Linked DNA regions of Tamandua tetradactyla. The protein of the gene in region 2 interacts with the protein of the main gene of each other region in a pairwise test. Links are inferred from orthologs where the notes say so. Each region holds a gene or a part of one and is shown on either strand. Other genes may lie near its edges. The genes, in order: EXOSC10, EXOSC8, OTUD4 and MORN4.

Evidence for each region.
Region 1: the proteins of EXOSC8 (region 2) and EXOSC10 interact in binary tests that used the Homo sapiens proteins (3 or more experiments, as listed by UniProt). The link is inferred for Tamandua tetradactyla from reciprocal best matches to the Homo sapiens genes EXOSC8 and EXOSC10.
Region 3: the proteins of EXOSC8 (region 2) and OTUD4 interact in binary tests that used the Homo sapiens proteins (3 or more experiments, as listed by UniProt). The two-hybrid records come from large-scale screens. The link is inferred for Tamandua tetradactyla from reciprocal best matches to the Homo sapiens genes EXOSC8 and OTUD4.
Region 4: the proteins of EXOSC8 (region 2) and MORN4 interact in binary tests that used the Homo sapiens proteins (3 or more experiments, as listed by UniProt). The two-hybrid records come from large-scale screens. The link is inferred for Tamandua tetradactyla from reciprocal best matches to the Homo sapiens genes EXOSC8 and MORN4.

Annotation. Positions count from the first base shown.
Region 1 is NC_135328.1:214,318,001-214,325,863, forward strand, and holds the start of EXOSC10 (exosome complex component 10), read left to right. Parts: upstream 1-4,856; 5' UTR 4,857-4,904; coding exon 4,905-5,015; intron 5,016-6,133; coding exon 6,134-6,270; intron 6,271-6,976; coding exon 6,977-7,100; intron 7,101-7,863. Other genes in the region: serine/threonine-protein kinase mTOR, read left to right, coding at 372-387. UniProt on the Homo sapiens protein: Catalytic component of the RNA exosome complex which has 3'->5' exoribonuclease activity and participates in a multitude of cellular RNA processing and degradation events.
Region 2 is NC_135330.1:102,572,547-102,579,416, forward strand, and holds the start of EXOSC8 (exosome complex component RRP43), read right to left. Parts: upstream 3,011-6,870; 5' UTR 3,002-3,010; coding exon 2,874-3,001; intron 2,362-2,873; exon of another isoform or gene 2,025-2,361; coding exon of another isoform or gene 2,014-2,024; intron 1-2,013. Other genes in the region: ALG5 (dolichyl-phosphate beta-glucosyltransferase), read left to right, coding at 3,462-3,527, 6,841-6,870. UniProt on the Homo sapiens protein: Non-catalytic component of the RNA exosome complex which has 3'->5' exoribonuclease activity and participates in a multitude of cellular RNA processing and degradation events.
Region 3 is NC_135348.1:22,905,173-22,912,113, reverse strand, and holds the start of OTUD4 (OTU domain-containing protein 4), read right to left. Parts: upstream 3,011-6,941; 5' UTR 2,977-3,010; coding exon 2,818-2,976; intron 2,744-2,817; exon of another isoform or gene 2,616-2,743; intron 1-2,615.
Region 4 is NC_135339.1:58,901,597-58,908,758, forward strand, and holds the start of MORN4 (MORN repeat-containing protein 4), read right to left. Parts: upstream 3,019-7,162; 5' UTR 2,762-3,018; coding exon of another isoform or gene 2,707-2,761; intron 2,686-2,706; exon of another isoform or gene 2,330-2,685; intron 1-2,329. UniProt on the Homo sapiens protein: Plays a role in promoting axonal degeneration following neuronal injury by toxic insult or trauma.

The DNA.
Region 1 (7,863 bases), on a different chromosome or scaffold from region 2:
TTTGGATTTTTGCTGTCAGTTCCGATACAGGAAGGGTAATGGAAAAGAAGCCAGAGCAGTGATAGAAGGAGACGAAAAGACAAATTTATGATCTGGGATTGTAACCTCAAGGACCACTCGGGGCTCCGCTTTGATTACTTGCCCGAGGCATGCTTGAAGAGAGGGTAAAGGGGACGTGTCCCCTGGGACCTCAGTAGGCATCAGCACTGGCCTGGAAGCGATGAGTATGCCTCACACAGTTAGTTGTGGGAAATCTCAGGGAGTGTCCTGAGGATTATCAGACCTTGATCTTTTTGTTTTCCTTGTATCTGTGTAAAGCTTTGAAGAAGCTCTTATGATTAAAATATTCCTTTTTCTGTCTGTCTTCCTAGGTGTCCTTTCTGGTAACTGGAGGCCCAGACACGCCCACAGTGTTTCTTGTGAGGCTTTTGTACTTTGGTATATGTATGCTTCCACTAAACTGAAACTATGGTCAAAAAGTTTGACTTTATTAAATATTTTGAAATGTAAATGAAAAAATAACTACTGTATATTAAGAGTTGGTTTGAACCAACTTTCTAGCTGCTGTTGAAGAATATATTGTCGGAAACACAAGGCTTGATTTCGTTCCCAGGATTGTAAAACAGTGTTGCCACATAAATCAAGCCATTGATTTTGGGGAACAGAAGATCCATAATTTTAGAAATACGGGTTTTGACTTAACTCACAAGAGAACTCATCATATGCATTTACTGGTAGAAAAATGGCCTACTCATTCCTCTCAACCCAATACAGCAGACTTAGTGCTGTCAGGAAGCTTTAGGTCATGGAGGAAACATAGGAGGATTCTGGACTATAACAAATCAAGAGGAGCAGACTTCATCACTTCCTCCCATCCCATGATTTCACTGGTCCGTGGACAACAACAACCACAACATCATCAACAGCATTTGCAAAATGGGCCAAAATGGGTGAAAAGGGTCTGTCTTCTGCTTGACCCAGTGACGCCGCAAATTACACACTTCAAACCAAGACCTGAGCTGCTAAGAGGGGACTTTATTGCTATTGCTAGACAGTTCTGCCAAGCAAACGCAGGGTGGGGATCATGGTGCAATGGGGTGACCCAAATCCGCCTTCCTTGGCCTGGATCTTGGATGTTTTCAGTGAGTTCTGTATACTCTGTTTAGAGCAAAGGCTTGAAAAACAGAAATACTGTCATGGAGGTGCTGAACACAGAGGGAAGGTCTAGTACAGGTTGGGAATTATGAACAAAATAAATATTAAACTAAATGCACAAAGTATAAAGTATAGCCATGTCTAGACACCATGTATCTGATACTTTTTGTGCCAATAAATTACATCAGAATTTTAAAACACACATATGGGTAGCTTTTTATTCCTAATAGAGAGTTCAAAAAAAAAAAAGCATTTATTCCTTCACATTCAGCATTCATTAAGCACTTAGTACAAGGATAACAAATGACATGGGTATACATGACGTGGTCCCTTTGCTCAGCATGTCTACAGGCCAGAGAAGGTGGAGACGGCCTAACAGGAAATAAATGGATAACTCCACTGCTAGCTAAGTGGTGAGAAGAGCCGTGAACAGAGTGTGAGCCACGGAGGGCTCACTCACTCCACCGGGTTAGCCAGGAAAGTCTCATGGATGGTCTGGAAGAATGAGTGAGAGCTTTCCTCAATAGAAAAGAAAGCGCAAGTCATCAAGCCATGAATGCACAATATTGTGCAGGAATGGCAAGTATTAGCTTAAACCATATGAATCTGCAGGTATTCAACCAGTTTTTATATACAAAAATGGCAATTTCATATGGTTGGTCCTCATAGTTCAGCAGGTGTGGCTTCAGGGGTCAGTGGAGAAAAACTCAATGACAAGGAGTTTGGGCTTGAAGCTGTCAACAACAGGGAACTAGCTGATTTTGTGTGTGTACTATATGGCAGGGATCACATTTCATTCTTTTTCCATGTGAATAGCCCATGATTGTAGCATTATTTGATGAATTTTTTGTTTGTTTTTTCTCTTTGTTGCTTTGGGAAGTACACGGGCCGGGAATCGAACCCAGGTCTCCTGCATGGCAAGCAAGAATTCTACCACTGAAATACCCTTGCACTCCACCCCCGTATAAATTTTTAAAACAGGAAGAGAATCCTAATAGTATTTTGAAAAAGGCAAGTAGTGACAAATGGATGTAAAGAAAATTAGAAGCCAGAAGGCCCAGTAAAGAGGGTGTTGCAATGCTGGGGAGGAGAGAACATTAAATGGATCAGGTAATTACTTATAGATTCCCTCTGAAGAGCATACCTAAAGAGAAGTTCTTCCAAGAAATTTATTTTTTAGTTGTTTGTATTAGTTAGGGTTCTCTAGAGAAACAGAACCAACAGGGAACACTTGCAAATATAAAATTTATGAAAGTGTCTCACGTGACCATAGGAACACAGAGTCCAAAATCCACAGGGCAGGCTGCGAAGCCGATGACCCCAATGGATGGCCTGGATGAACTCCACAGGAGAGGCTCACCAGCCAAAGCAGGAATGCAACCTGTCTCCTCTGAGTCCTCCTTAAAAGGCTTCCCATGATTGGATTTAGCATCACTAATTGCAGAAGACACTCCACTTTGGCTGATTACAAATGGAATCAGCTGTGGATGTAGCTGACGTGATCATGACCTAATCCTATGAAATGTCCTCATTGCAACAGACAGGCCAGCGCTTGCCCAATCAGATGAACAGGTACCACAACTTGGCCAAGTTGATACCTTTCCCTAACCATGACATTGTTTAAGTGAAATTTTTTCTCTAAATTTCTGTTGTCCACAACTACTCAGTGAGAAACACTGTTTTGTATAAAAATTGTTCAAGGAACTTGTATTATGGGGAGCCTGAGAATCACAAGGTCAGGAACCACATCATAGGTGTCATTGCACCCACAAAATCTGAGAGAAAACCTAGCCCTAGACAATTTGTTGGAGGACTTTTCTTTTAAAGACAAAGATACATTCAAATTTCAATAGTGATACTAATAACGTTTTCAATATTCACAGTGAGGAAGTCTCATTCTTTTTTGAAATTTTCTAGAAGAGTCCTAAACCAAGTCTGATTTGTTCTGACCTCCTCGGTTTGAGATGAAGTAACTAGCAATGACTACAGTGATGTTACCTTTTACGAAAATTAAAGGGTATGGGGATGGGTGAACTCAGGAAAATGGTGGCCATGAGTGGTAGAGACATACTCAGGGTTTGAGAGTCATTGGGATTAAGATCTTTGGTGAATCCAATGGGTTTTAAGTGATTTCTAAGCAAAACCTTCTGGTTTTGAAGTGAATTATCAGAGACAGGTGAAGAGCTACTGGAGGTCTTTAAAGACAGTCTAATTAACCCATCAATCCTGAATGGTTTTGTGTAACCCTGTGTGAAGAAAGGGGTGTGCAAAGAATGACTTTCCAGATCCTTCCGTTCCTAGGGTTAAAACTACTATCAATAGATTGAAATACTAGTGATCAATGAAAGGTAGTGGTAAGGGGTATAGAAAAAAATGGGAACAAAGGTTAAAATATATTGTGTAGATGGAAATACTAGAGGCCAATGAGAGGCGGGTAAAAGGTCTGGTATGTATGAGTTTTTTATTTTTTCTTTTTATTTCTTCTGGAGTGATGCAGATGTTCTAAGAAATCTTAGAAATGATCATGGTGATACACAAATACGTGATGATATTGTGAGTCATTGATTATACACCAAGAATGGAATATTCACAGGTTAAAAATGTTCATGTTTGTATGTTGTGTTGTTTTGTCAATAAAAATTAAAATAAAAACTACTATAAAGTAGTTTTCAAGAGTCAAGGCTGCAGCATCGAATTATTTAGTTTCAAATCTCAACTCCACTTCATACTGTGTGACTTTGAACCAGTGCTGTTTCCTCATCTGAAAACCTGGTTAATACTACCTCTACCTCTTAAGGTTTGGGTGAGGATGAGATAATCCATGTGGAGCATTTAGCACACAGCCTGAATGTTGTGTTATGAAATAAGTGTTCAAAAATATCAGTCATTAAAATGAACTAAGCATTTCTTCTTTCAGGGTGCTTGTGTACCTGAAGTACACAACTAGGAAAGAAAAAGTGAAAAACAAGTGTCCTATTGATAGGATATCCTGAATTACCATAATTGCTAACATTTATTGAACACTGACTGAGTCAAATGAGATCTATTAAGGGTACACCACCTCTGCTCTGTGCACATAGACGCAATTCACTCCACAGGGCTTCCGGGAATCCATTTTCCCCCATTCCCCAGCTACCTAGCAAAGCGGTGCCTGCCTCATAACAAGTCTTTGCTGAGTTGCATCGTATGCCTTAACAAGACAGGTTCCAGTGGGATGCACGAGAAGAATGTCTAATCGAAACGGTTCAAAAGCACGTTTGCAGGCTAGGAAGTACAGCGGTAGCGTAAAACTCTTTCCAGAAGTTTTCCTACAAAAAAGGTAAGAGAAATATGGCAGGGCCTGGAAGGTGGGGGCTCGGTGTCTTCCCTTTCTTAGTTGGGAGAGATTTCAGCTTAGGGCTGTGTTGTTAGGAATGAACCAGGAGCGAGGGGAGAGATGACGATGCCAGATGGCGGGGATAATGACTGTGGCCAAGATCTTAAGTGGAGAGGGGCATGGATCCAGGGCCTGGAAGGTGTTAGCTTTACACAGGAGATGACTGGGTCCGCCGATTCCCTCGCTAAACCAGAGGATCGTTAGGAGGATGCAATATGAAATTAAAGGAAATTTTTAAGTTCTCGGGGTGGGCGTTCAGGGTTATTCACCCAACTGAAACCCCTCTGGCCCTCTCCCCTCTGCACATGCGTCCGGCGTACACGTCGCGTTGGCGCGTGACACTCTCGCGAGAAGCGCCGTAAAGTCCGCAAACATGGCGCCTCCCAGTCCCCGAGATCCTAGGTCCCCGCCGGCGACAACCGCGACCAAGTCCGACGAGGAGATGGTGCTGCCCGGCTTCCCCGACTCCGACAGCTTCGTGAAGGTGAGTTCGTAAGTCCTCGGAGGCACCGGGAGCAGATCAAGGCCGGACGGAAGCAGGCCCAGGTCCTGTAGGCGGCAGGCAACGCGCGCGTCCCGCAGCGGAGCCTCCAGGGCGGGTCAAGGGGCCTCTCCCCTCGCTGGGCAGAGTCTCTTGGGTGTCTTCCTCCGGAGATGGGGCCCCGGACAAGGAAACGGAGGGACGCTCCATTTCCCAGAGCCCTCGTTCCCCGAGTTGAGGCCTTGCAGCCCTTACTGTGCAGAGCGTTCTCCACACCTTGGGGAAAACTCTCTCGTCACCCTGATGTCTCCAGCCCTCGGCGACCTCGCCCCCGCCCGTGCCTGAACCATCCGGCGAACTCTCCGAGGGAACTTGACTGCTTTACACCTCCCACGTCTGCCCGGCGGCCCCCCTTCCCACGACCGGCGGGATCTTTCTTCCCTCTTCTGACGTCCAGCCCTACGTAATCCCCAAAGCCCAGATACAGCTATCGTCGAGTGTCTTTCTTCTAATTATCAATATCTCAGAATAGATTGGAAACTCCTGGAAGGAACAGAGAGGGTCCATTTAAATTATTTGTGTAATGCAGCTTAAAGATGAGCAAAATAAAACTAGGTTTAAACACGTCATGCATGCCTCTTATGCAGCCATGAAACATAATTTGAAGTTAATATTACTTAACCCCCCCATTCCATTCATATTATCTAATGTACTAGTAGTAGATACTTTTATTAATTTTATTTGTTTGGCCTTGAGTAGCTCGCAGACCACTAACTGAGGTCTTGATCATGTGGAGTTCACACTCACAAGTCACCACATACCCCACGTTGACTCGTTTTCCACCTCCTGTCTCATTTTTTTTCATATTTTCCATTTGTTCTGTCTCTCCCCACTCTTCAAGATGTATGGTCCGAACCTTGGTTTTGTGTTCAGCCTTGTCTCCTCAAGGCCTAGTAGACTAAAGAGTAGAGTCAGTATTAAATGGAGATCTGTTGGAGAGATGAAGATTGGCTATCTTTAGCATCTAACATAAGGTACCATGTGTTGTAGATCTTCAAGACATGATTGCCAAGTGGATGGGGATCTGTGTTTAAAACGCCTTCTTTTCTGGTTTTTGACAGTTTGCTCTTGGGTCAGTGGTGGCAGTTACCAAGGCATCTGGGGGCCTACCACAGTTTGGTGATGAGTATGATTTTTACCGAAGTTTTCCTGGCTTCCAGGCATTTTGTGAAACACAGGGAGACAGATTGCTTCAGTGGTAAGTACCATACATTCTTTCCCCAAGTTAATAAAAGAAATGAAAATAAAGAGGTAGATTTTTCCTGAAATTTGTTTTTCCTTACCATAATCTTCCATGCTTATAAAGTGCTACAAAATGTGAAAAAATAGCCAAGAGGACTAGGAAATTGTTATTTGGTAAATTTTGAGTTTAATTTTTAAAAAATGTATTGACTTTTGCACTTATACATAACAGAGCTTAACTGAATTAATATGGGCCTTGAAAACTTAGATCCAGGTTTCTTAGTCCCATGACTTGCAGAGTCACACATATTAACTTTCTACCTAGTACATTAGGACAGTTAATGTACAAACGTTAATTTTGTTTACCCTTTGCATGACAAGAGTTGGAGAAACTGCTTTAGACTTGCCATGTTAAAAGAATGAAGTAAATGTAATGTACATTTATTTACATACTATCATACTTTTTTTGGAATTTAAAGAAATCAGAAATTTCTTCTGCCCCTTCGGTTAACAGATGAGGAAAGTAAGTCTTAGCTAAATTTAGGGAATTGCCCAAAGCCACACAACTGGCTGTTTCTTTGAAGACTGTCATAACGGTACAGATTTTATTAATTTGAAGAAAAGGCATTGGGAACAGCCTGAGCCAAGCCATTTGAGCTTTCTTCCAGATGGTGAACAAATAAATAAATGTACACACATTTACCTGGGTGTCCCTCCCTCAGCATGAGCAGAGTAATGCAGTACCATGGGTGCCGTAGCAGCATTAAGGATCGAAGCAAAGTGACTGAATTGGAGGATAAGTTTGATCTCCTAGTTGATGCTAATGACGTCATCCTGGAAAGAGTGGTGAGTATTCTCTTATTCTTATGATAACTAACAAACAAAGAGTTTTTGTCTGATTAAAAATAAAGAGCAATCCAAGTACCTTAGAAAATAAGGAAATAAATATACAATTTCTTACTGGTAATAACATTCCCTTCCTTTGACCAGTGGTTTCTTTTTATACAAAACTAAGTATGAATAACTTCAAATTATTACTGCCCCATAGAGGCCTCTTTTAAGGTGCTGATTAAAAATCCACCTTTGTATTACAAGAGAAGCAGCCTCTCTATCAACCCAATAAAAATTTAATCATTTTTACTTTGTTATTGAAAACCTTATCGTTACCTTGACTCTCAGGATTGGAAGAAGATATTAATCATTCAGACTAGCTTGCCATCTGTTTATGCCCAATTCTACAGCAGAATGTTATTTACAGAAATACACGGAGATTGTCTAAAATAAATCTAACCTTTAGCCATGGGATGATACTGGAGATGTTTAAATTATGCTCTCCTGTCCCATGAAATCTATCTTCTATATGAAATTATGCTCTCCTGTCCCATGAAAACTATCTTCTATAGTTTAAATGTCCACAGATCTTGCAGCTATTTTTTGTATTTTGTGATTTCAGGTTCTGTCACTGCTGATCCATCATCTGGTGCATTTTCATTTGTGGTGCCCAAACTCATAGTCCACATCTGCTTTGATAGCACAAAGTAGATCAAGACAACCATCATCCTCATTCTAAATACTTCTGTAATTAATATATGCTTTCTGGGGTGTTTTT
Region 2 (6,870 bases):
AGTACCACAGCAATAGCACAGGTAAATAATGGGGTAATGGACAAAAGTTAAGGTTTAGATTTCCTATTTGGTGAGGGTGTGTTTATTGGTTTTCTTTCTCTTGGGAACAATGAAATCATCTAAAATTGAGAGTGTGGATGGACTGTGGACTTTGGACACTATACAACAAGCCCAGTAAATGCAGGTGGCTGAATGATGCGCTGACTGAGTATACTGGCGAACGATGATGGTGTATACATATGATCGAATATTGTGCTGCTACAACAAGGAATGAAGTCGTGAGGCATACAACGATGTGAATTAACCTGTGGGACATTTGGGGGGGCAAAATAAGCCAAAATGAAGGAACAATTATTGTATGGTCTCCTTCAGAAAATGCTTAGGAGAAAACAGGGTCCTAGACTGTAAGCTCTTACAGCAGACACATTTAGTCTGGAGTGGTAATTATTATTTCTGGATTTTGAAAGGCTGTTTTATATATCTATAACCTGATATTTACAGATAAGAATGAAGTTGATCAGGTCAGGATTAAGATAATTCAGAACACAGGGGTAAGGAAGACATTGTCTATATTTTAGAACTGCACCTACTCTTTAAGACCAAAGGTAGAAAGGTTTATCTTGTCTGGAATCTAAATTTTCTGTAGTCATCACCTAACTCAACCTGTCTGGATGGCTCATTTGAACAACTGAAACACAGCCCAGAATAAGAATGAGGGACTTTAATCCTGTACAGTTTAATGTAATGCCTGGGTACATCCTAGAGTATAATAAGATATTCAAAAAGTATTGGCAAAGTCCCCTGAGGAATGGAAGATAAAATATGGAACTATTAAACTTTACCATCAGGGAAACCCTGATACTGTGTCAAACATTAGGGACACCCAAATCAATAGGCCAAGCTCTTGATTTTGAGGCTCACTCCTGTGAAGCTTATGTAGGTAACAGAGAAACCCAGACTACCTATAGGCATGCCTAACGGTTACTTCCGGAGGACCTCTTTTGTTGCTCAGATGTGGCCTCAGTCTTTTTAAATCCAATTCTGCAAGTGAGATCATTGCCTTCCCCCCTACATGGGACATGACATTCAGGGGTGAACGTCTCCCTGGCAACATGGGAGAGGACTCCCAGGGATGAGTCCTGCCCTGGCACTGTAGGATCAACAATTCCATCCTGACCAAAAGGGGAAAAAGAAGTGTAACAAAGTATCAGTGGCAGAGAGAGTTCAAATAGAGTCCAGAGGATACTCTGGAGGTTACTCTTACCCAAGCATCAATTAGACATTGCTACCTACAGTAACCTGCCAACCCCCAACCAAAAACATTCCAGCCAATCCTAAAGAACACCTAGGGCATTGTATGAGATCCTACAAGGGTTCCATGCACTAGGGTAACTTTCCAGAAACCTACAACCTCCAGATCAGTCCCTGGACCAGGTAAGTCCTGAAACCTAGCCCAGTCTCTCCAGAACATCAGATAGTTCCATTTCCCTACCCCATATTACTGACAGCCCCTTTCAACATGAAAAAGTTAGAATGGCCATAGCCCAAATGCCCCTAAAGAGTGGGACAGAAAGATCAAAGGTGATAGTGGAGTTATACAGAGAAGGTAGGGTTTAACATTCAAATATGATTGCTGAACCATTAAACTGATATTTTAGTCTCCAGTATCTTAGAACAGCTAGAAGTAAAACCTAAAACTATGGAATTAAAACCCATACCAAACTCTGAAAACTGTTCTACAACTAATTGTGGTGCTGCGTTTTGAAATTCTTTTGTACGTATGTCATTTTTCACACAAAAAAGTTGCTTGTGATGGTAAAAAAAAAAAATTTATTCCTTCTAGCCTCCTACATTCTGAAGAGGATGGTACAGAAACTCATGACAAACTGTGGGATCTGTCCTGTAACTACTTACCGAAGAGTGCTCTGATAATTATTGCTTTTTTCTTTCTTTGCTTTGTATATATGTTATACCATACAATTAAAAAAAAGTTGAAAAAAAAGTCACTCTAACCTGGCAAGCATATCTTCGTTGCACTCTCCTGTAACCCACCTATCACGCTCAGCTGGAGAGTACGTCCTTGTTGCACTCTCCGGTACCTGACCTCTGTCACTCTCTGCCTGGGGAGCACGTCCTCATCGCTCCTGTAACACACCCGTCACTCACGGCTGGGGAGCACGTCTTTAGGGCACTCTCCTGTACCTGACCATTGTCACTCTCTGCCTGGGGAGCACGACCTCATCACACTCTCCTCCTCGCATCAGCGCGCACCACAGGCACCGACCAGGGCGCGCCAGCAGCAGGCGCGCCGCAAGCAGACACCGGCGCTTTTACTACCTCGGCGCGGAAGGTGTCTTTAGAGTCGTCATGACTTGACATGCCAGGAGTACCTTAAATCGACTAGATCCTAACATCGAAGCTGGTTTACTAGAAAGTGCATTTATCCCTAGACCACGAATTTCCCGAATTTATGCTCAAGATGACTGCAGTTCAGCATAACTGGTTTCTTCTGGAATCCTATCTCCTACTCCACTTAAAAACACTACTCCGGAGTCCACAGGCCGCAACGAACGGTCACAAACGCGGTTTTTTTGTCTGCTTTTTTTTTTTTTTTTTTTTTTTAGAAAAACCTTCCAGCTGAGGCAGGCTCCTTTCGGGGAGCGGCAGAGGGGCGGCGCGGGCCTCAGAAGGCCAACTCCCCGGTCGCGGCGCCGGGGCTGCGCGGTCAGCTCCACGCCCACAGACGCTCGCGGCGAGGCCTGCTCCAAGGCAGGGAAACCTACCACAGCTAGGAAGCTAAGGGAGGCGGCCACCCGAACACAGCGCCGCACCTACCAGGGAAGATAACACCGCCCGCGGCAGCTCACACTCACTTGAAGCCCGCCGCCATCTTCACGCCCGCGCGCATGTGCGAGTGCTGTCTGCGCCACTCACGCCCGTGCCACTCACGCCCGTGCGCATGTGCAAGCGCTGGGGTCGCCATCTTCCCGCCCGCGCGCATGTGCAGACACCGGCACCGCCTCTGCCAAGAACTGCCCCTCGCCCCGCGCCCGGGCCCAGACACGCCGCACTTGGGCCCCCCCCCCCAGGGGCCCGGCTGCGGTAGACTTGGAAGTTCGTGTGAGTGCGTTTCAGAGCAACAAATGTTCAGTCTGTGCGTGTCTCAAATACAGCACGGAAACACATATTTTTAAAGGTTATTTGTTGTTGCTCTGAAGCTTAAATCTAAGTGGGCCTCAGTGTTTTTACTAAACCTGGCACCTTCCTGGGGGAGCGCCCGCCTCCTGCCCATCTGAGTGTCACCCTCAGCGCCGCCATTCCCCTCAAGTGGTTTGTGCTTTGCCCTCCTCGCCGCGCGGTGGCGCTGTGGCGCTGTGGCGAGCGGGACGCGCGGCGTCTATGGGCGTGGGCAGGATGCGCGGTGGCGCTTCCGCGCGTGCGCGGCGCTCGGGGCTGGGAACATGGCGCCGCTCTTGCTGCAGCTAGCGGTTTTTGGTGCGGCCCTGGCGGTGGTCGCGCTCATACTGGTGAGGCGCGGGCTCCCGCGGCGTCCCTTCCCTTCTCCGGGTCTACCTCAAGCCTGGTCCCAGAACTGCCGCTCAGTTCTTCGGGTCTTTACCCCCTTGAGGGCTCCGTCTCAATGGGCTTCGGGGCGCACCCCCATTCCGCTCTCCAAGTGCCCACCTCAAAGCCCCCGACCCCCGGCTCACCCGCGCTGTCGGCCGCGGCGTCCTGGGACGCCTCACGCCTGCTTCCGCTGTGCTTGGGCCCTGCGGGTCAGGGCTGCGTCCCCAGGCACAGTAGTGCGAGTGGTGACGAGGCAGTGGCGGGAGCCGCCTATCAGAGGCTGGCGCAGGTCGCTTGCCCCAGGCGCGCTCGGGCACCTGGCCGCGTCGCGTCCCCGGAGTCTGGACTCCCTACTTTACCGCCTCCTTGATGGAATCCAGACCCCGATTTCTTTTGACATTGCTGTGGAAACACACAAATATTTTAAGCCCTTACTGACCCATAATTGGTAGAAAGGTTGACACGTGAATTTTTCCGGTATAACTTGGATGAGCGTGCCATCTGGTTGGCAAACGGAGAGAATCGTGTCTTTCTTGACTTTGGGGTGAGCAGCTTTTGCAGCACTGTCTACAGGCCCTTCTATGCTCTGCCCAGAGGATTGGTAAACTTAAAGCTCACCAAGTGTAAACTATTCGGAAAGAGAAAAAAACTATGCTCCTGCCCTGTGGGCAAGAAAGGAGTCCTCTCTTTCCAGTAGTAGTGGTTTTTGTTTTTTGTTTTTGTTTTTCACCGATTTGAGCAAGTCACGTTTTTGGTGATAGAGAATTTGACACAGTTCTGGGTTGAAACTGCCTTACATAGACTGCCTTGCAAAGATTTCAACTGTGCGTTATGATGTTGTATGAGAATATTTGACCCCATTTGTCTGCGCTGATAATAAGAACTATCATTTATTGAGAACTTACAATATGTTTGGTATTGTACTGTTTAATAGGGATTACCTCATTTAATCTTAAAGCAATACTGTGACATAAATGTTATGGTTAGCTTCATTTTACTGGCTGGAAAGATAAAGTCATGTGTTCAAATGTCCCAAAGCTAGTGAAACTTAGTCCTTTTAAATGCCAGAGCAGAACATCTTTTTTTTAAAAAAGGCAACAAAAAGCTAATCTTTCAAATATAGTCACCTTATATATATATGTATATATATATATATATATATGCTTCCTCCCCAACCCTCTTCCCTTCTGAATTATTTTGCAACATATCGCAGACACTATAAGGTTTTATCTGTAAATGCTCAGTAGTCTTCTCTAAACGAGACTACAGCAGTGTTATACAGGTTAAAAAAAAATTAACCATCATTCTGTAATTTCAAATGTCAGTCAGTTGCCATGTCATCACTTGTCTTGTGTATGTCTAGGTGTAATTAATTACAGTCAGCATTTAAAAGAGGTCCACTGTTCTGCTTGATTGACAAGTCTTCAGTCTTTTAAGATAGTTTTCTTGTTCTCTTTGATTTTTTTTTTTTTTTTTTTTTGGCAGGGGCAGACTCTGGGAATCGAACCCAGGTCTCCAGCATGGCAGTGAGAACTCTGCCACTGAGTCACTGTTGCCCACCCCTCTTTGATTTTTTAAAATCTGTTTTTATTGATAAATGTGACTATTACTCATGTGGAACTTCTCACAATCTTGATTTTGCTCATTGCATTTTCTTGATGCCATTTAGCATCCTCTTCTGTCCCCTGAATTGGTAGCTAGTTGTTCAATTGCATGTTTGATTTTTTTAACCAAGAAAAGCATGTGAATGATAGTGAATACTTCCTCCTGTAGCACATCAGGAGGCAGGCGATGTCTGGTTGTCTCTGGTGTTAAGGTTGATCAATGTTAAGGTTGTCTCCTGATCCACCAATTATAAAATTTGTCATCCAGCTAATGGTTTTAGCCATCATTGATGAACATTATCTAAATCTGTTATTTCATTAAGGTTGCCAAGTAGAATATCTTAATTGTATCATTCCTTCTTCATTTATTAGCTTGAATTCTATAACCAAAACCTTTTTCTCCTCAACCATTCAGTTCCTATGAAATATATAGTTCATACATAAAAGATAGCTTTAAAATAATGAGATGGTTCCTGGGTATCTTACGAAGGTGACCAATTTTTATTTTTAGTGTTATCATCGACTCATGGTTTTAAATAATTTTCACTGGTTTTGATCTATTACAGTCTTTCTTTTTGATGTTCAAATCCTCCTATCCCATGCCAGCGAGAGCCCCTTCAAGTTGTACTTCTGGCATGGCCTTGTCACTGCCAACAACTTCTTTGTTTTCCATGACAGGCTCTTCCAGTACGGTGCATTTCCTGCACAGACCCAAGTCACCCTCTCTTTAGGAACACCTTGTGGGAAGTTGCATCTCGAAACCACAGTCAGGAGTAGGGGTGCAGGGCAGGACCCTTCACCCTAATCTGGGTGCTACCTCATGCTCACATTAATCAGAAGCAAATTCAGTGTCAGTCCATACCCAGTGGGATATTATAAAACACCATCAAATTATACATGAGTAGCATTCAAGAATTGGTATAGTGGTTGTTTTGAAAGCAGAAGTGTACCAATAGAAGCAATGTTACTCAGAGTGGTTTATTTCCAGAGGTCACTCCCAAGTGCATATGGAAGGGAGCTATATTGCTAGGGTAGGGAGCTATAATGTTAGTAGTGCAGAGAACCTACACATTTAATGCTTTACTCAAGAAAATGCTGTATTCTGAGTTCAAATTTGGGATGAGTACCAGGACTATATCCTAAAGCATTACAAATCCATACTGTGGGGGCCAAGAGATCTTGGCTTTATACATTGGGTGTATCCCATCCTGGGTGAGAGGACAGCCCCACCTGACATGTTCCACATGCTGAATGCACTTGTCCTCTGTCACATACAGGCCCAAGTAGGGATCATCCTCACCATTTGTGTGCTACACATAGGACTGGGTCCCCTGAGAGTTGACTCGACTTCCTGTTGTGACTGTTCCCTATTTGATCTGGGATGGCAAAGCCCTGAGAGGCTTGGGTAGTGGTAGGTGGGAAGAAACAGAGCCTCCTGCACCATTAGTGCCCCAGCAGCTATCTGGGAGAAAAGGACAGTCATCAGTTCATAAGACTTACTCACTGTCTTCCAATTTTGGAGTTAGTTCCAGACCCTTTTTAATGGATTAAAAACAGAAAACAAGTATTTCCCCCCCCCAAAAAAAAATTAAGTAAACAGTGTACTTACTATAACATATCAAATGTTATAGTCAGTGTAATGATTTATTTTTTACATGTCTATATTTAGATATCCTTTGTTGCATTTGTAACTGCTACG
Region 3 (6,941 bases), on a different chromosome or scaffold from region 2:
TACTTTCATTACTGTCTTGTAACACTAGAGAAAAGCACTAAGATTCCAACACTGGAAAGACTATTCACATGTGAAATAATCACCATACAATCAGACAGCCAATTCAACAAATGAAATTTAGCAAAATGTCTTTCACAGTAGCTATGTTAAACATTATTATGAATCAACCACAGTATTATCTGATAAGACTTTTCCTGCTGTTACCAAAGTGAAGCTAGTCCTAAAACCATTACCTAGCAACAGGTGGCAGACATAAGGGCTCATTTCCCATCAAAAACAATGGCAACAAAAAAAATAATAAAGGCAAGTGTATCTCATTTTTTTCTCTTCTAAGAAAGATTTTGGCATATGAAATCAGAAGCACAATCCTCAGCAACATCCACAAAGTGTGGAGGCACGGGTGCTTTATAAAGCTTTACAAAGCAAGAGAAACTCTTTTCACTGCAAGAGAAGCAAGGTTAAATGACAACTTAAAAAAAATGATTGTGCAAGTTTAATTCAGGAAGAATTAAAAGGGTTTGACATATACCTATCTTTGCAAATTATTATATGCATGAAATGAGCTAGAACTACGAGATTTTCCCATCTTAGAACAATATAGTGATAAAAACTGGGAAAGGCTAAGGCACACTGCTTTAGCAAGTCCTCTTAAGAGTGGCCTATTTTTAGTTCCATAACTGTGGAGCTGATTGAGGTCAAGCCTCCTGCAGGCCGAATTCTACAAGTGCAAAAAGGGAAAGGCCTATCTTTCCCTATCTAAATCAGGTAATGTGGAGGGAAAGACTCCTCCTAACTCAATCTCTCTAAAGACTGCCTTTAGATTACTTACTCTGTCTCCTTCTTAGAAATGAGGGATATTTATATTGACTTCATAGGAGAAATAGTTGACAAAAAAAACAAAACCCTTTGTACACATTTTATAGGAGGAGCCTGAGGCCACTGTTATTTCCCTTTTCCCATATACACTTTGCCTTTGGCTATGATTGCTATACCCTTAGTCCAAGTCTACTTTAGAAGTGGGGTGCTCCCAAGTTCACAGTGTTGAGCTTTCCAAGCTCAGTACTAAAAACCATTCACATAATTGGAGGATATTTCCTTATATCTAAGGTAAATCCTAGTACAGTAAGATACACCAAAACAGTGTTATCTGATGTTAGCAATGATTCCTTAGTCTAACTAGCTGATGCCCCTTTCTACTAAGAAAAAAAATTTTAGAGATCCCATTACAATAATTTACACGCCTCTGTATAATCAAGTTTGCAAAATATTTATAGCAAGTAATGGTGAAACCAGATACACCTTTCTGTTTCAATATAAATGACAGCCTGGATAATCCAACTCCAAATACACTCCAAACTTCTCTTATTTCAATTAGTTTCTACCTCCTTCCTTATAAGACTCTTGCTACAGCTAACAGTATGTATAAATATGGGCTGAAATCACTCCCACTTCTTCCCCCAGCTTCTAGAGGTTCTAAGGAGTTCAGGGAGTCTTAGGAAGAGGAAGGAAAAGGGGACGGAAAATTAATACGCGCATGCGCGTATGTGTATGAAAGAGAGAGTACACCACAGGAACACCAAACATTCCATTTTCTAAAAAGCAAAACCTAATGGAATTGAAAAAGATGGAGCTTGGTTTGGGGAACTTTAGGAAGAAAGTTTGAAAAACAATACCTGTAACCTAGTGAAAATGGCTTATACTTGTTAAATCAATTGCTTGTTTAAAGAAAAGATTTTATGTCACTGAAGTGAAAACAGCAATCTTTGGAAAAGTGATGACTGGTCTGTGAAGTTTAAAAGAAAAAGAGGATGGACTGCTCCCCAGGTGTTCATTAAGTAAAATATTTACTCATAAACAAAAACCCTGAAAGCTAACTAGCATTCAAAAAAAAGGTGAGAAGATCATAAAAAACTCATGGACAGGGCACAGATTTTAAGCAAACTGAAAGGTGTGAAATACAGACTACAGCAGTAATGTAAAACTTTTACCCAACTACTTCAGTAGTTCTTTTTCAATAAAGCCAGATTTTGGTGACTGCACACCTACAGCTACACATGTATTATACAGCCTGGAATAAGCCCTTTCAAGGAACAGAAGCACCGCCCTAAGCAATTTTGTGATTTTGACCACTAACAGGGAAACATCTGGTCAAGGAGGGCCTAGAGGCTCTCCACTTACGCCGTGCCTACTACTAACACCAAAACAGTAAATTCTTTTTTAAAAAAAGAATTCCGTTTTTGTGTACTTACACTGTCTTGCAGAACGTAGTGAGAGGGGGAATTTACTCAAAGACAATTTTCAAAACCCTGTTTTTCTTAAGTGCGCTTTCCCAAATTGCAAATTTTACCCTCTTGATTGAGTGACATGACATCGGAAGGCTTGAATACCCCACATTCCAAAGCCTGGTAACAAAAATACACATATTCCACGAGGAAAGTTTGATGCGCCACCTCCTCCAGGAAACATCTGGTTTACTGATGTGAACGTTATGCTTAGAGAACGAAGGGAAGATGAATGCGGAACAAAACAGAAAATTATCTGTTCACCAAGCCTGCAAAGCATACAAACTGTACATGGCTCAGAGCAGGCCTCATAAGTTGTCGTCGATTCATTACCTTTTCAACAGGAGAGGCGACACCCAGTCATCTCACAGGCTTTTACATTCCGGTTTATAGCTCTAAGACCTAAGGCAGCAACCCGTTCCGGCGTTACAATGGGCCGCTATGACGACAGCGGCGCCACGCGCAGCCTCACCCGGCGGCCCGACAACTGCCCGCGGCCGCACCCGCCTCCCCTTGACCCCCGCCAAATTATTACCTGTTCCGCCACGGCCCGGAAAAGGCACGACCCGTCCTTGGCGATCAGTTTCCGATACAAGCCCAGTTTCCGCAGATAAGCATCCATGGGCGTCGCGTCCCCGCGGAGCCCCGCGCCGCCCTGGTCCCCGCCGTCGGGGAAGCCGACGGTCGCTTCCATGTTGCCGGTGCTCCTGCAGCCCAGGCGTGGCGCGGGCTAGCCCCACATGGCCGCGCCGCCGGCTCCTCGACGCCCCGGCCTAGGGCAGACGGCGGCTCCGGCTCGGGCTCCGCTGGCGGCGGCAGCAGGCGGCAGTGGCCCGAGGCACCGGTCCGCGCTCTCCGGGCGCATAGGGGAAGCCCTGCCTAGTGCATGGCTGTTCGCACGCGGCCGCCTGCCCGGAGGGACCACGCGCCCAGGCGGAGCACGTTGAAAAAAAATTAAAGAAAAACCCGAGAGTGAGGAGTCACTTCCCTGTGGCCTCGCCGCCCGGCTCAGGAACTGGACAGGGCGCGGGGGGTCACCGCCTCCACAAGTTTCCTCGTCCCGACTGGTGTGAGGCGAGCAAAGCCCCGCACGGGCGAGGGCGCCGGGCCGGCTGAGGTGAAGCGAGGCCTGCGTCCCTCACGCGTTCCCCACGCAAGCAGCCGAGGAAACCAAAAGAGAAAGAAGCGGCCTTTCGTTTCCCCACCTCGCGGGAGGACGCCGGAGGGGCGGGGAGCGGGTGGGGGCACCCGAAGGAGGGTTGCACCCTCGCAGCCCAGAATTTGTTTTCGCTTTCCGCCCGACAGCGGAGAGGTCGGCGGGAGGTGTAGTTTTGGCAGCGGCAGGAAGTCGGATAGCGGCGGGTGAGGACGCGCGGACCGGCCTACGCGGAGGAGGCGCCCGGGAGGCTCGCGGACTACAAGTCCCTACAGCGCCAGCGCCGGCGCCGCCTCCCGCTTCCCGGGCCCCGCGGCCGCGAGCAGGCCCAGGGTCTCCGCGAGCCGATGCGCGGCCGCCTGCGCGCGCCGCCCGGGCTGACCGGCTGCCGGCTGCTCCGCGGTGCCGCGCAAGTGCGCGTATCCTGCGTGCGTGGAGTTGCCAGGGACACTGCGGCGGCAATGTCGGCCCTTTGTGTATTTCCAGAGAGCGCACCTGTTTGCTCCCCTCCCCCGGCCTACCCTCCTGGCGTTTCCATGGAGGTGGCTTTAATGGCTTAAGCAGAAAATAGAGCTAATTGGCGAAGGCTCCTGGAACTGGCGGCGTGAGGCACGACACACGCTTTCCATAAATCAACCGTGGACTGATGATTCCTTTTAGAAATTAGAAATACTGCTCACGCATTACGGCGAGGTGATGACTTTGCCACAGACGGTTTTGTCCATCGCCTCACTGTAGCTGTGCCCCCAAACACGCAGACAACTAAGTCAGCGGTCAGAAAAAAGTTAAAATTATTTTATCCTTTCTTAAGAAAAAAAAAAAAAGTCCTGTAATTGCTTGATAAGGTACCAGACTTGCCATGGGTTTTAAGAGCGCTGAGGCTTCCAGCTCAATTTCCTACCCTCCAAAGTTGAATGACGAGGAAATTGGCAAAGCAGAGTCAGAGGCTTTAGAACCCGGAATTTATCCAGCATACTTTTTGGACGCCAGAAATTTATTTTGCTAAAATACAACAGCGTCTGGAGTCCTTATTTAAATGTGTTTAATTGTAGAAACTGCTCCAAGCTTTGAAGCCTTGGAGGGAGAAGGGAAAGTAGAGGGATTCTATAGGTTTAGACAGGTAGTAGAATAAGCACTTTGAAATAGGGCCAAGGGAGGCTAAATGGTGAGTGTCTAACATAAGTTACATAAGTGAAAAACATAAATGAAAACTCTCTTAGAAATGTATTTCCAGTTCTTTAGGTACAAGCACTTACGTAGTAGTGCGTAAATTTCCCTTGGAGCTTCTAAATTTTGATTTCTTAATATTTAAAGAGTCTATTTCAAATTGTGCTGTTTTCAGAGAATACAGACGTTAATCTGACCTACGTGAAAGGATTTCTTTGTCCCAATATTAAATTTTTTACAGATAGTATAGAAACACTTTGGAATCACTTTCAGAAAAATCTAATTTCAGATCAAATCTGTTGCTTTTCTTTCTTTGAGTATATTTACATTGCATATGCTACTCATTACACTATCTTAAAATTGCCAAGTATTGCCACTACTCACAACATGGCTTGCCTTTTAAACCCACAGAGGAATTCAAAGTAATGTCTGAACTGTAGAGTTTTAATACTGAATTCCAGAAATGAATAGATTCTATCTCACTAATTTTATAAATAACATACTTTCTGCCATGACTAAAGAAAACCATGGCTTTCCAAGCTTTTATTTTAATATTCCTTCAATAAGTTCTGAAGCTAATCTCATATTTAATATATATTTATAGGAAACGAGCTGTATAGAACATGCTAAGATTTTATGCTGAATATCTTGAGAATATAATAGAAACTTGTATTTCCTGGTATTTCACATTTCGAAGTTTATCAACCCTTGTTTTGTATTTGAAATGTCATGATTACATTACTTTAATTTTAAAAAAGAGTTTTCAAATAAAAAAGATTTGCTCACTTTTATAAGTTACATTCATGGGAAACTGGCAGTGCTTCAAGCATATTTTTATTTTATGGATTATCCATATTTTAATCCTATTCAAATGTGCTGACTTTTTAAAAAATAATGTTATAACTTCTAAAACCCCAGAACTCCCTAGAAATACTTCAAAAAGAAAAGGAAACCAAACACGTTAATTCTACACTTTATTTTCCATTGCAAAAAATGTAATCCAAAGACAAAAATATTATCAATATAAGAAGACATGATCATTTAAATAAATTGTAACTATTCTGGTAGAGTCTGGCACTAGGGCTTGCTTTCAATATTTTTAAAATGAATTACTAAATACTAAGAAAACAGAGGCCTTTATCAGTTTACCACAATTCTATACGATCTTATAAAACTGTGGTTTGTTATCTGAAGGAATAACCATTTCTACTCTTTCCTAGAGTTGATGTAGTGCCAAAAATTACTTATTGTCCTCACCCTTGCTGAATGAATGCAGAACAGCCTCACACTAAACTGGCTGCTTCTGGTTCCAAAATTAGAAGTCATGCACCTGTTTTTCTGACCCAGGGGCCTGTTTAAGGAAATCCTTTAGGTATTTTGAGACCTAATCCAAGACAGACCCTCTGTATGCCAAATCCCCAAATATAGCTCAGTGTTCAACCTAGATTAGAGGATCCTAGGACTTTAAACTGAACCAAAACTTAGAGAAAGTCTCTTATTTTCAAAGGCCCGTCATATGTTAACATTAACATTTGAAACTTATCAAGGGACCAGCTCTGATTGAAAATGTTCGTTTGGAGGAAGCCACTTCTGACCTGCCAAAATTCAGAACTTCTTTAAACAGCTATCATTTTAATCAAATAAAACCTAAAAGACTGTAATTCCTGAGAACCAAGTAAAATTAATCAAATTCACCTTATGTCAACGTGTCAACCAACTCTTCTTGTACACAATCAATACCTCAAGTCGGTTTGTTTCCTCTGACGAACTTTGGGACTAGAGACTGATTGCATTGGACTGAATTGTTTAAATTTTTATTAAAAAACAGATTTTCTGGATTTTTATTTTCCTAATAGGAAATTAGGTATTGAGGTAACCAGCCTCTAAAGATGGTTACTTTCCAATGATCCCTGCCTCTGGATATTCACCACCCCTCCCCAACCTACCCCGTCCACAAATTGAGTAGAGCAAAAGTGATAGCATGTCACTTCTGACATCATAAAAAAACATTTGCAGCATTTGGATTGCTCTCAAATACTTTATTGGTTCACTCACTCTGGGGGAAGCTAGCTTCTATGTGCTGTGAGCAGACTTAGGGAGTTTCCTTTGGTAAGGAACTGAAGCCTCTTGCCAACATCCACGTGAGTCAGCTTAAAATCAGACTCTCCAGGCCAGTCAAGCTTTCAGATGACTGCAGGCCTGGCAGTCATCTCAGCCGCAACAACATGAGAAATCTTGAGCCAGAAACTTCCAGTTCTGAGATTCTTGACTGAGATTCTGAGCTTCTTGATCTAAGTTGTCTGAGATAATAAACATTTGTTGTTTTAAGCTGTTAA
Region 4 (7,162 bases), on a different chromosome or scaffold from region 2:
TGCTTCAACCAATAGAACAGGGGAAGTAAGGGTGTGCTCTGAGGTTACATCATAAAAAGTGATGCAACTTTCATCCTGCTCACAGGTACACACCTGCTTAGAGACCTGAGTCACCAAATAAGAAGTCTGAGGCCTCTAAGCTGTGAGGAAGCTAATCTACATAGAAAAACCACCTGTCTGTGCTCCAACTGGCAATTCTCCAACTGGCAGAATCCCAGTCCAGGTGCCAGCTGTGAGTGAAGGAGCATTCAGATGATTACAGCAACCTTAAATTCAGTCTTCCCAGCTGAGGGCCCAGATGTTAGTGGAGTAGAGAGGGCACACTCACGGTGCGGTGCCTTGTCTGAACTCCTGACCCAAAGAATCCATGAACATCATAAAATAACTGTTTTAAACTGCTAACTTTTAGGGTAATTTTTTATGTAGCAATAGTAACTGGAATACCATCTTTCAACCTAACCCTGACAATGTCCTCTCCTGTTTGTTTTCAAGAATCCATACTTCAAACTTCCATTCTTTTTTGATCTAGGAAGTTATAGTAAATTCCCCTCAGCACCTGCTTGTCCAAATGATGTCCATTCCCCCAAAACAATCAGAAGTGCTAATTAAAGGAACATGTATAGGATCCAAGGGCTTTGGGCCTCAGTTGGACACATTTGCTAGAAACTACTACATCTGTCCAAATAGTTGATATTGTCACTGCCTGGGACAGTATCGAGATTTTCATTTATGACTTCTGTAATTGATCATGCTAATTAATAGTGAGCTGCACAAGCACTGACACAAAAAGGAATTTCACCAATAACCACGGTCATTGAGACAAATCAAATTTAATAAAATATAGCCAGTTGTTGGAGACTGAAAAATCAATACTTCAGCAAGGGATGCAAATCAGTATTTGTATCAGTTATTCAAATAAACATTTTTTTTTGGCGGGGGGAGGCGGTGCATGGTCTGGGAATCAAACACGGGTCTTGTGCATGAAAGGTGAGTCTACTACTGAACCACCCGTGCACCCATCAAATAATCTTTTTAAAGAGAGTAGATGGCCTAGAGATTTAGGCTGCAAATATACAAATGGAATCTAGTTACAAAGCCAAGATGATTCAGCACTTCTAAATAGACACCCACCCCTTCTGCCCTCCATGATGGGCTGCAAAGCATCAGTCCAAACATTTACCTAAAAGAAAATTACTATTTTTTCTTTATAAACCAGTAACAATACACTATTAGTCCGCACCACAGACTACATCCCTGCTAGCTTCATTTTCTCCTGCCCCATACATTTACAAGTAGGACTCTGAGACAATAAAGAGAACTTCCGTTTCCCTTCTATTTGTGTCTTTTAAAAAATTTTTTTAGAAATAAAACTTAAACAAAATGTATGCCCTCACAGTAACCTATATCCAAACTGAGAGAATTAAAAAACAAACACCTTAAAGGGGAACAGACTTTCAGTCAAAGAATATTGTTCGGAAGCAGTCCCACCTTAACTATTCACACATGCGTACATACTGTCCCTCTAACGCCACCCTCCCCACACAACTTAGGACTGTCTGGTCAAAGTTCCCCTTTCAGTTATGAAAGAGAGCAATTCTTGAGTTTTGAGAATCCTAAAGAGAAGAACATGAAGGCTTTGATGAGTAAGTATTATGCTTCTAAGGAACCTAGAACAAAGACTCAAATGTTCCTTTTCAAATGTTTTTAAATAAGCTTGAATTAACTTTATTATAAGTGTAACTCCCCCTTCCCCCATTTGAAATGTAAACGAATGTATCATTACTATTTAAAGATCTTATTCAGGAAAACTGTGGGCCGGTTAGACTGAAGAAAGTGCGAAGAAAATCCTGGCACCAGGAAAAAAAAAAAAAAAAAGACTGAAGGGGAGAGGGGAAGAGGGAGAGGGAGAGAAGCGAGGAGGGAGGGAACTGGAGAATGAGTAACACTCCCAAAATACTATTCTAATTTTTGGGAGAGGAGACCGTTCTAATAAAAGAATTACTCCCGCTGGTCCCCAAGCAGTCTGGAGATGCTAGACTGCCGGGAGACCACCCATCAACTAACTGAGGCATTCCGGTATCTCATTCCTCCACAGGAGGGATGTCTCTCCACCCAGGTGTGACAGAGGCGGGCAGTGGCGCAGACAAAGCCTTAGACTTAACGTGACGGCACTTCCTTGTCGACCTCCCCATTCCTTCTTCCACCATTTTTTTGCATTCGAGCCCCACTCCTTTTCCCCATCTCTGCTCTCCCATCCCGGCCGGGCCCTCTGCTCTCACAGGTCTGCCACTCCTTCTCGACAACGCCCTCACACTCCCCGCTAGCTCACCTGGGTGCCGTGGGCGCTCCAGGGCCTCGGCCCCAGCAGTCGAGGAGGGAGGTCCGGATTTGGGACCCCCACGCGCAGCCGGCCTCCAGAGCGCGAACGGGATGGAGCCCCGCTCCCCAGACTCTTCCTTTCCTGCTCGGACCACCTAAGCCCATCCTCCCGGTCCCTTCCCACCCGCGCTGCCAGCCCACTTGGGCCCCACCTTTCGGGACGACTATCAGGCCCCGGCTCCGGGCTTCAGCGGCCGGGACCTTAGCTCCGCCGGGTTCTGCCCAAACACCTTGGTTTCCACAACCTCTACCACCCCCTTCCCTACTTGACGCCGCCATCCCAGGCAGCCGCACTGGGCACAATTCCCGCTTCCCATTGGCTGTTACCTAGGCAACCAGGAGCAACGCCACTCTCCATTGGGCCAGCCGGCTTCTGCGCCATCTTTGTGCGGGGCGGAGTGTTCCGAGAGTCTGGGCCAACTATATGAATGAGGGGTGGGGCTGAACACGCGGATGCGCCGCCGTGACCCAGGTATCCAGTTCACGTCTATCCACGGACAGCCTAGCCGAGATGTTAACCCCAAACAAAACAAAATCTGGGTCAGTAGCAACAGTGAACACCAACTCATGTGGCTCCGATCCTAAAAGGTCTGGCCCGGGAGTTTAAAGACAGAACCTATATCGGGTTTTAGAAGTGCAGCTTTGTAAATTGTAAAGCACTGGGTAGGATAACTGCTGTTTAACGGGTCTCAACCCTATACCAGGCATTGTGATATAAGAACACCTTTGCATTTGTTATAGGGATTTTTGTTGTCACTGTTATTACCCAGACCATTTGTATGCCAAGACTGGAACAAACCCTCTCCAATATCATACACATCAATCCCTTAATCTACATATTTATTTACTGAAGGTATGAGTACAGCAAGGTGTTAGGTTCTGTCAGACTAGAAGAGACATGATCGCCGTGCTCATGGATTTACTGCCTGAATATGTAGAAGAAAAGACTCCTGCACATGGAAAAATCAAAGACTGCATTTAATAATTAAGAGAAGTCAAGCACATGAAAGGAGTAGGCAAACTGCTTTTCTAAATTGAGATTTCTTCATCTGTAGAACGGAAATTGATACTAATTACAATAAAGGCTCTCTAGGACTAGTATGAAAATGCAATGTAAAATGCTCAGTACTATGTCTGAGACAGCCAATATTCAATAAATAGTAGATTAAAAACTTAAAAAAAAAGATTTTGGATACTGTGTTCAAATCCCAGCTCTGCTACCAACTGTGTGTGATTTCAAGCAAGTTATTAAGCTTTGCAGCCTGTAAAATTAGATTGGATTAGCAGATTTATAAACTTCAATCCAGCTTTAACACTCAATCGTTAAGCTTGCTAAATTGTGTGGTATTGATCTTAAATATAATTGCAGTAGTTGAGAGTACTGTCAAGGAAATGGATCTTATTAGATTGGAGAATGTACATTAGAAAATATGAGGACATAAGGGTAAGTAAGTTGAGTGAGGCCAAATTATGGAGGCATCTGAAAATTAGGGAGAAGACATGGTTTCTAAAATATATATTTTGATCAGAGGAATGACATAATGAAACTGGTGTTTTAAAAAAATTACTATGGAGGTGATACCCAGAGATGATCAGAGAGAAAGAGACTGGAGGCAGAGAAGCAAACTCGGAAGCTATTGAAGTAATGTAGTTATGGCATCCTGAGATGTCAAAACTAATATGGCATCAGTGAAGAGGGAAAGAAAGGGAGTGAATACAAGACATTTCATAGTGATGTTTAATAAAGAAGCAACTACAGTGTTAAATTCTTGGATTCAGTCTGACCTGAATTTGGGTCCAGCCATTTATCAATTGTGTCACCACAGGCAAGTTGCTTTACCTCTTGAGGTATCAATTTTCAACATCACAGGGGCTCTTATGGTGGTTAAATGAGTTAATCTATCATGCACATAGAACATGTCTGGCACATGCACACCATTCAGTAAGTACTAGCTCTGCATATGTAATCGGGAATGTATTTTCATTCTTTTTAGTAAAAGGAAAATCAAATTCTAAAGTATAGATGCAGATAAAAATTCTCAGGGTTTTCTAGTGAGAAAAACCTTAGAATTCAAGGGAGAACCCTAAATGTTGGAACTTTTCCTTGACCATAATTTGAAGCTCAGGGGCTAAATAATATGAAAGATACCAAGAAAGCATCAATGTGACTTTGGACCCTGGGACACAAGAAACAGACATCTCTTGATTATTTGATATCTGGGTAGGAAATGAAAGTATTATGTCTTGTAATTGAAAAGGGAAATGGAATCCCTTGTATGGACCTTTGCCTAGAATGGCTTATTTGGCAAAAAAAGGTTTAAAATATTATCATATGTACAAATAAATAACAGTTTTCCAACTTCTAGTGAGCTGTAGCAATACTTTGATTCAAGAAAGAATGGTTATGAAGTATTGGTGACTGCATAGCTAGTTGTCTTCTGTGAAAACCCATACCTCTAGTCTACTGGTTACTTTAAGCATAAAACAAAATGATATCAACAATAACTTCAGCAGTGAAAAATGCTACTCTTTTTTTTTTTTTTTGGTGTTTTTTATGTACCAAGAACTATGCTATCTGCTTTTCATATATTATCTTGATCCTTTTTAAACAAGTGAGGTAGCAATATCACTCCTTTTTTTTTTTTTAGAGGATAAAACTGAGGCTTAGAGCAGTTAAGTAACTTGTCCAAAGTAGTCAGTGTAGAGCTAGGATTTGTCTGATTTCCAAGCCCATGCTCATAGCCATTACATTCTAAACTTTAGGAGGTAATGTTAGTATAAATTTTAACCATAACAATAGTCCATGGATTTAAACAAGCAATTACTCCAACTATGCATCCGTCTTCAAAGATGCCACCCTTACTTATTCCAGAGTTACTTATTGGTGCCTGGGTCTGGAGTTGGTCCACCCCAGATCACTTGCCTGGTGAAGAACTGTTCTCTAAAGCTCTCCGCAGCTGTTCACCTAACAGATGCCTTCTCTTCATGGCTTTCCAGGCCCTTGGTAATCCAGCCCAGCCTTGTTTCCCCTTGAATCAAGCAGGTTACTCTCTTCTCTATATCCTTTAACCTTCCTCTTTTGATCCTCGGGTTACTCACTCATGCTTGGTGTGCCCTCTTTCCTCAATCTTTTCCAGTGATTTAATTACATTCTTCTTTCAAGATTCAGTGAATAGCACATGCCCCACTTAAGGCCTTCGCTGACTCTCTGGCTGCAGCCCCCAATGGGTGAACTCTTATAATAGAAAAAAAATGTTGATTCTGTTTCTCCAACTGCCCCAGAGGCTGTGGCCTTAGCTTGAGGTCACGGCCTGTATCCTCCTTCCTTTCTTTCACTGAGCACCTACTGTCTGCAGACACTGAGGTTACAGGGGTGAATAAAACAGTAGCGGCCTCTGACCTTACGTTTACCGTCTCTGGAACGGTATCTTTCTTCAGTTAACAAATAAGCATGGAGAAATCAGACCAAGTGGACTAAGTGGCACGAGAGCAGGGATTTTTAAAAACTTTTTGTTAAAAGGGGAGGAGGAAAAATTGTCAGCATTTAGCCTAGGAAAGAGAAAGTGAAAAGGAGATTTCAGTGCACCCCTGCTCCAACCGCCACATCTGCGCTCCGGCCCCAGGGCCCAGTCCACGATATCACCGGCTGCTGATCCACGACCTGCAACCCCAGCGATCTGTGCCCCGCCCCTACACACTCCAAATCTGCATCCCGGCCCCCCTGGACCCCTCTCCCTGAACAATGACCTCTGTGCCACCTACCCTACATCCTGATACTCAGGATCCCGGCCTCCACATCCCCACCCACATCCTGTTTGTGCACCAGCCCCAGTGCATCTGCACAGCACCCCCAATCTGTCTCCTGCCACACCCCACCCCTGTGTCTCCCGCACCACATCCTGCCCCTGCGCTCCAAGGTCTACCTGAGCTGCACCCCATTCCCAAGGCCCCTGCACCCCACTACCCAAACCCCTGCCCAGCACCCAATGCTCACAGGCACCAGTCCCCAACCTGGGCCTATACTGAGCTGCAACCCATCACAGCGCTGTTGTGCCCTCACCACATCCCTGCATCCTGCTCCGCATACATCCCACAAATACAAAGCTTTAGACTACCAAAGGAAATCAACTTCCAAAGTCACTTATTAAGATATTGACATGCCTCGAAGGCAACAGAAGATCACTAAACATATCAAGATGCAGACATACAGCCCAACCTAATGACCAAATTAAAACACCAAAGGAGACACAGACTTTGGAACAACTACTCAAAGATGTTCATATAGCTCTACTAAATAAAATTAATGGGATGGCTAATGACATAAAGAAGGTCAAAAAGACACTAGAAGAGCATAAAGAGGAATTTGAAAGAATAAAGAGAAAAATAGCAGATATCACAGAGATTAAAGATGTTGTAGACCACATCAAAAATATACTAGAAACAAACAACAGCAGAGTTGAAGAAGCAGAAGAAAGAATAAGTGAACTAGAGGACAGGACAATTGATTTTGAACACATAAAAGATCAAGTGGCAAAAATGATGGAAAAAATGAATTGGATCTCAGGGCAGTGATTGAACAAAACAAACCACACAAATAGAAGAATCATTGGTGTCTCAGAAGAAGAAGAGAAGACTAAAGGGCTAGGAAGGTTAGTTGAGGATATACTGAGGAAAAACTTCTCAACCCTTCCTTATAAAGAACATAATTATGCAAATCAGAGAAGCCCAATGAATTCCAAATAGAATAAATCCAAATAGACCTTCCCAAAGGCACATACTAATC